Xenopus tropicalis: one gene and its partner. The protein of the gene in region 2 purifies or fractionates together with the protein of the main gene of each other region. This does not show direct contact. Links are inferred from orthologs where the notes say so. Each region holds a gene or a part of one and is shown on either strand. Other genes may lie near its edges.

Region 1 (3,985 bases), on a different chromosome or scaffold from region 2:
AGGGTGAGTCCCACCCTGAGCACCCATTCAGTGACTGACAGGAGGGTGCGGGGTCCCTATGCTAACAGCGGCCTTGGGAAATCCAAACCACTAGCAGAGAGTGGCACAGCTGGGTGGCACCGGTGCCGTCCCCGGGCTGGATCTGGTGCCCTCCCCTGGCTGGATTTGGGCCCTCCCCTGGCTGGATCTGGCCCCCTCCCCGGGCCGGATCTGGCCCCCTCCCCGGGCCGGATCTGGCCCCCTCCCCGGGCCGGATCTGGCCCCCTCCCCGGGCCGGATCTGGCCCCCTCCCCGGGCCGGATCTGGCCCCCTCCCCGGGCCGGATCTGGCCCCCTCCCCGGGCCGGATCTGGCCCCCTCCCCGGGCCGGATCTGGCCCCCTCCCCGGGCCGGATCTGGCCCCCTCCCCGGGCCGGATTTGGCCCCCTCCCCGGGCCGGATCTGGTTCCCTCCTGAAACCCATTCTAAACTGCCCCACAGAGGTTTCCCTAACAGCCTTCATGGCTCATGGGGACAGGGATGTCTCCCCAATGGGCAAGTGATTATGACCAACTGCAACCTGCCTGACAAATGTGCCTTTCCCCTCACAAGAGAAAGTTACGTTAAGGTTCCCAGAGATCAAGAGTTGGTCTTGAAAATCCCAGCAGGAAAAACAGACTCTGGTACCAGCTATGGGCCGCCCAGTGGTACTGTAGCACCCGGGATGTACTGGGGCACTGCTAATGTCCAGGATCTGCCAACCTATACTGGTCCCCAGTACTGGCCAAGGTCTGACAGGGATCACTGAGACACTGGCACTGCCCAAGGGATGAACAACACATAGAAGTGTTTTCAATGCACAGTAGCAATGGCAGTGCCCACGGTCTGACCGGCTCTAGGTGACTGGCACTCTGTGCCCTGTGTCTGACAGGCTGCAGTGTACCATGGGGCTATTGGCACTGCTTATAGTCTAATAATCTTTAGTGGTGACTGGGGGGCTGCCTGTGCCAGGGTGGGACTGGGGGGCTGCCTGTGCCAGGGTGGGACTGGGGGGCTGCCTGTGCCAGGGTGGGACTGGGGGGCTGCCTGTGCCAGGGTGGGACTGGGGGGCTGCCTGTGCCAGGGTGGGGCTGCCTAAGGGGGGACTGGGGGGCTGCCTGTGCCAGGGTGGGACTGCCTAAGGGGTGCCAGGGTGGGACTGCCTAAGGGGTGACTGGGGGGGCTGCCTAAGGGGTGACTGGGGGGCTGCCTAAGGGGTGACTGGGGGGCTGCCTAAGGGGTGACTGGGGGGCTGCCTGTGCCGGGGGGGCTGCCTAAGGGGTGACTGGGGGGCTGCCTGTGGCGGGGGGGCTGCCTAAGGGGTGACTGGGGGGCTGCCTGTGCCAGGGTGGGGCTGCCTAAGGGGTGACTGGGGGGTTGCCTAAGGGGTGACTGGGGGGCTGCCTAAGGGGTGACTGGGGGGCTGCCTAAGGGGTGACTGGGGGGCTGCCTAAGGGGTGACTGGGGGGCTGCCTGTGCCAGGGTGGGGCTGCCTAAGGCAGCGTTTTTCAACCACTGTTCCGCGGCACACTAGTGTGCCGCGAGATGTTGCCTGGAGTGCCGTAGGCAGGGCACCAATGTACTAGGGGGGCACTGCTGCTGGGCACCAATGTACTAGGGGGGCACTGCTGCTGGGCACCAATGTACTAGGGGGGCACTGCTGCTGGGCACCAATGTACTAGGGGGCACTGCTGCTGGGCACCAATGTACTAGGGGGGCACTGCTCTTGGCACCAATGTACTAGGGGGGCACTGCTGCTGGGCACCAATGTACTAGGGGGGCACTGCTGCTGGGCACCAATGTACTAGGGGGCACTGCTCTTGGCACCAATGTACTAGGGGGCACTGCTCTTGGCACCAATGTACTAGGGGGGCACTGCTGCTGGGCACCAATGTACTAGGGGGGCACTGCTCTTGGCACCAATGTACTAGGGGGGCACTGCTGCTGGGCACCAATGTACTAGGGGGGCACTGCTCTTGGCACCAATGTACTAGGGGGGCACTGCTGCTGGGCACCAATGTACTAGGGGGCACTGCTGCTGGGCACCAATGTACTAGGGGGGCACTGCTGCTGGGCACAGAGTTAAATTTTTTAACATTTTCTAATGGTGGTGTGCCTTGTGATTTTTTTCATGAAACAAGTGTGCCTTTGCCCAAAAAAGGTTGAAAAACACTGGCCTAAGGGGTGACTGGGGGGCTGCCTGTGCCAGGGTGGGGCTGCCTAAGGGGTGACTGGGGGCTGCCTAAGGGGTGACTGGGGGCTGCCTAAGGGGTGACTGGGGGGCTGCCTGTGCCAGGGTGGGGCTGCCTAAGGGGTGACTGGGGGCTGCCTAAGGGGTGACTGGGGGCTGCCTAAGGGGTGACTGGGGGGCTGCCTGTGCCAGGGTGGGGCTGCCTAAGGGGTGACTGGGGGGCTGCCTAAGGGGTGACTGGGGGCTGCCTAAGGGGTGACTGGGGGGCTGCCTGTGCCGGGGGGGGGGCTGCCTAAGGGGCACTACAGGGTATAGTAAGCACTGCCCACTTGCCCAGGGCCCTACAGGCTAAATGAAGGGTCGGGGCAGCCTGTAATGGCCCTGAGAGGAGCGGCTAATGAGGCCAAGAGACAGGCGCTGCGGCTTTGTGTGAAACAGCGGCACATGATTGCGGTAGAGACGCAGAACCCCTCGGAGACACAAGGGCCGCAGGGTGCGTTAGAGCCCCGGGCCGGATGGCGGAGGATGGAAGCGGATTGCACACTCACCATCATCTTGCTGAGCGGCGCCGGGTATAGATTCACAGAAGCCGGGTGCTGCAGTTCCCACAATGCACCGGGAAGGCCTTCCGGAACCTTCGGCAGCCAACTACCAACGGCCGAGGGGCTGGGCGATAAGGGGCGTGTTTAGAAGCTGTCGCCTTGACGACGCGGCTCGCCCGGCTAGGGCATGATTTCACCGGTTGCTAAGTTGGATTCTACCCTGTTCGCCCAACGTAGTTATGGTTGTGGCCATGTAATGCGTTCATGCTCAGGCGCAGAGAGGCTGGATAGTCGCACTGGGCTCAGAAATACCTGACAAGCAATGTTTTACTCTCAGTCATGTTGGTACACCCAAACAAGCGGGCTAATTCCGCTACGCCATCTTGGTACACCCAATCCCTCAGCGCGCAAGTGTGCTGTCATTGATCGGTATTAAAGTATTATAATATTTACTTTTGTCTGCCTGCTACTATCTGCCCTACCCTGTAACATGGGCAATGTAGCCGGAGGAGTAGTGGAATGTCGCTGGCTTGGATGGGAAGTAACTACTGTGATTTTTATTTATGAAATAATGTGCAGATGGGCAGCTTAACTCAAGTGCTGGAACATTTATTGCGTAAGGAAAGTCATAAGGCAATGTGAAGTCCCCCGGGCTTTTCCCAGTGGAACGTCCCCTACGTTCTAAAGACTGTGTGAGGGCTATACCATTCATTGCCGTGGGGGGAAGTTTAGGTTAAGTGCTGGAGCATTTATTGCATAAGGAAAGTAATAAGGCACTGTGACGTCCCCCGGGCTTTCCCCAGTGGAACGTCCCCCACGTTCCAAAGACTGTGTGAGGGCTATACCATTCACTGCCGTGGGGGGGAAGGTGCTTCCCCATGTTGCAAGCTTGGTGCTGAAGACGGACACACACGCTTGTTATTGGATTCCTGTGTATTAGACGGAATTTGGTAATTGGTTGGTGATGAAACGGGGAGCCAATGAGAGCCGCTGATCTGTACCAATAGGATGAGGGGGAGGGCGGAGCGCTGCATTGGCAGACATGCAAGGTGGTGTGTGCAGGGGCTGCCAGCTGTTCCTTACATTGGTGCTGCTGTTGTGCCCTTCCTTGCCTGTCAGGGGTAAGTATAAACGGCATACGGGGCACTGGTTGGTAGGTGTGCCCAGGGGCAGCTGGGGCACCCATGGGTGAGGGTAGAGGCTAATGAAGGGTAAGCATTTGGGCAGCTAAACCA
Region 2 (4,045 bases):
ATATCCAGGTATCCCTTACCCACAATTCCCTGCTCTCTGTCCCACACACACACACACACACACACACACACACACACACATATCCAGGTATCCTTACCCACAATTCCCTGCTCTCTGTCCCTCACACACACACACACACACACATATCCAGGTATCCCTTACCCACAATTCCCTGCTCTCTGTCCCTCACACACACACACACACACACACACACACACACACATATCCAGGTATCCCTTACCCACAATTCCCTGCTCTCTGTCCCTCACACACACACACACACACACATATCCAGGTATCCCTTACCCACAATTCCCTGCTCTCTGTCCCTCACACACACACACACACACACACATATCCAGGTATCCCTTACCCACAATTCCCTGCTCTCTGTCCCACACACACACACACACACACACACACACACACATCCAGGTATCCCTTACCCACAATTCCCTGCTCTCTGTCCCACACACACACACACACACACACACACACACACACACACACACATATCCAGGTATCCCTTACCCACAATTCCCTGCTCTCTGTCCCTCACACACACACACACACACACACATATCCAGGTATCCCTTACCCACAATTCCCTGCTCTCTGTCCCTCACACACACACACACACACACACACACACACACACACACACACACACATATCCAGGTATCCCTTACCCACAATTCCCTGCTCTCTGTCCCTCACACACACACACACACACACATATCCAGGTATCCCTTACCCACAATTCCCTGCTCTCTGTCCCTCACACACACACACACACACACATATCCAGGTATCCCTTACCCACAATTCCCTGCTCTCTGTCCCACACACACACACACACACACACACACACACAACACATCCAGGTATCCCTTACCCACAATTCCCTGCTCTCTGTCCCACACACACACACACACACACACACACACATATCCAGGTATCCCTTACCCACAATTCCCTGCTCTCTGTCCCTCACACACACACACACACATATCCAGGTATCCCTTACCCACAATTCCCTGCTCTCTGTCCCACACACACACACACACACACACACACACACACACACACATATCCAGGTATCCCTTACCCACAATTCCCTGCTCTCTGTCCCACACACACACACACACACACACACAACCACACACATATCCAGGTATCCCTTACCCACAATTCCCTGCTCTCTGTCCCTCACACACACACACACACACACACACACACACACACACATATCCAGGTATCCCTTACCCACAATTCCCTGCTCTCTGTCCCACACACACACACACACACACACACACACACACACACATATCCAGGTATCCCTTACCCACAATTCCCTGCTCTCTGTCCCACACACACACACACACACACACACACACACACACACACACACACACACATATCCAGGTATCCCTTACCCACAATTCCCTGCTCTCTGTCCCTCACACACACACACACACACACACACACATATCCAGGTATCCCTTACCCACAATTCCCTGCTCTCTGTCCCTCACACACACACACACACACACACATATCCAGGTATCCCTTACCCACAATTCCCTGCTCTCTGTCCCTCACACACACACACACACACACACACACACACACACACACATATCCAGGTATCCTTACCCACAATTCCCTGCTCTCTGTCCCTCACACACACACACACACACACATATCCAGGTATCCCTTACCCACAATTCCCTGCTCTCTGTCCCTCACACACACACACACACACACATATCCAGGTATCCCTTACCCACAATTCCCTGCTCTCTGTCCCACACACACACACACACACACACACACACACACACACACACATCCAGGTATCCCTTACCCACAATTCCCTGCTCTCTGTCCCACACACACACACACACACACACACACACACATATCCAGGTATCCCTTACCCACAATTCCCTGCTCTCTGTCCCTCACACACACACACACACATATCCAGGTATCCCTTACCCACAATTCCCTGCTCTCTGTCCCACACACACACACACACACACACACACACACACACACACATATCCAGGTATCCCTTACCCACAATTCCCTGCTCTCTGTCCCACACACACACACACACACACACACACACCACACACACACATATCCAGGTATCCCTTACCCACAATTCCCTGCTCTCTGTCCCTCACACACACACACACACACACACACACACACACACACACACACACACACACACACATATCCAGGTATCCCTTACCCACAATTCCCTGCTCTCTGTCCCACACACACACACACACACACACACACACACACACACACACATATCCAGGTATCCCTTACCCACAATTCCCTGCTCTCTGTCCCACACACACACACACACACACACACACACACACACATATCCAGGTATCCCTTACCCACAATTCCCTGCTCTCTGTCCCTCACACACACACACACACACACACACATATCCAGGTATCCCTTACCCACAATTCCCTGCTCTCTGTCCCTCACACACACACACACACACACACACACACACACACACACATATCCAGGTATCCCTTACCCACAATTCCCTGCTCTCTGTCCCTCACACACACACACACACACACACACACACACACACACAGTAGCTGCTGGGGAGGGATACTGGGAGTTGTAGTTGAATACGGACCAGGCCGCACTACAAGTGACGGGAGTCCCAGCCAGTGACAGAGCAGAAGGAGCCGGAGGGCCCCCCCCCCAGCAGACACACGGCCCGGGGGCCACTCACCTTCCCCGATCTTCTCCAGCTTCTCGTACTTCTGCATGATAGCACCGGCAGGCCGCCCTCACTGTTCCACTCAGTACGCATGCGTACAGACCCGCCCCGGAAGGAGACTTCAGCCAATCCAATCTGTGCTACTGGATTCCCCTCTTACTGAGCGCTGTGCGGCAGGGTTAGCCCCGCCCAGTCTGTCACGGAGAAGCGGTTACCATGGAGACAGTAGGAATGGGACGCTTTGTGGGGGCGGGGAGGCGGCCATGTTGGTACACCCATCTATGCAGCTTTGTCCCCTGCAGTAGCGCTGTCCTTTCCTTATAAAGCTGCTAATAGTGTTTGAGAGAGAAATAGGGGTGGGAGTAGGGCACTGAGCTATGGAATCCTGGGGTTATTGGCCTCACAATGCGCCTACAGAGGGATATGGCGTGTTGCTTTGTGTGTATCAGGCTGAGGGGTAGAGACCGGTAACTACCATACAGCAGGGTACAGACCTCTCCCTCAGCTCTGTGACATCACACACGGGGTGCCGGAGCTCCATGACGTCACACACGGGGTGCCGGTGCTCCATGACGTCACACACGGGGTGTCAGAGCGCCATGACATCACACACAGGGTGCCAGTGCTCAATGACATCACACACAGGGTGCCAGAGCTCAATGACATCACACACAGGGTGCCAGAGCTCAATGACATCACCCACAGGGTGCCGGTGCTCCATGACATCACACACGGGGTGCCGGTGCTCCATGACATCACACACAGGGTGCCGGTGCTCGATGACATCACACACGGGGTGCCGGTGCTCCATGACATCACACACAGGGTGCCAGAGCTCAATGACATCACCCAGAGGGTGCCAGTGCTCCATGACATCACACACAGGGTGCCAGTGCTCTATGACATCACACACAGGGTGCCAGTGCTCGATGACATCACACACGGGGTGCCGGTGCTCCATGACATCACACACGGGGTGCCAGGGCTCAATGACATCACCCACAGGGTGCCAGTGCTCGATGACATCACACACGGGGTGCCGGTGCTCCATGACATCACACACAGGGTGCCAGTGCCCTATGACATCACACACAGGGTGCCAGTGCTCGATGACATCACACACGGGGTGCCGGTGCTCCATGACATCACACACGGGGTGCCAGGGCTCAATGACATCACCCACAGGTGCCAGTGCTCGATGACATCACACACGGGGTGCCGGTGCTCCATGACATCACACACAGGGTGCCAGTGCCCTATGACATCACACACAGG

The links. The genes of interacting proteins can lie anywhere in the genome.
Region 1: the proteins of cdk5 (region 2) and cct7 purify together in Homo sapiens (affinity purification with mass spectrometry; 3 studies listed by BioGRID and IntAct, with this or other methods). This does not show direct contact. The link is inferred for Xenopus tropicalis from reciprocal best matches to the Homo sapiens genes CDK5 and CCT7.

Annotation. Positions count from the first base shown.
Region 1 is NC_030677.2:16,900,310-16,904,294, forward strand, and holds the start of cct7 (T-complex protein 1 subunit eta), read right to left. Parts: upstream 2,801-3,985; 5' UTR 2,763-2,800; coding exon 2,757-2,762; intron 1-2,756. Other genes in the region: pradc1 (protease-associated domain-containing protein 1), read left to right, coding at 3,793-3,871. UniProt on the Homo sapiens protein: Component of the chaperonin-containing T-complex (TRiC), a molecular chaperone complex that assists the folding of actin, tubulin and other proteins upon ATP hydrolysis.
Region 2 is NC_030682.2:1,367,040-1,371,084, forward strand, and holds the start of cdk5 (cyclin-dependent-like kinase 5), read right to left. Parts: upstream 2,850-4,045; 5' UTR 2,820-2,849; coding exon 2,783-2,819; intron 1-2,782. UniProt on the Homo sapiens protein: Proline-directed serine/threonine-protein kinase essential for neuronal cell cycle arrest and differentiation and may be involved in apoptotic cell death in neuronal diseases by triggering abortive cell cycle re-entry. Interacts with D1 and D3-type G1 cyclins.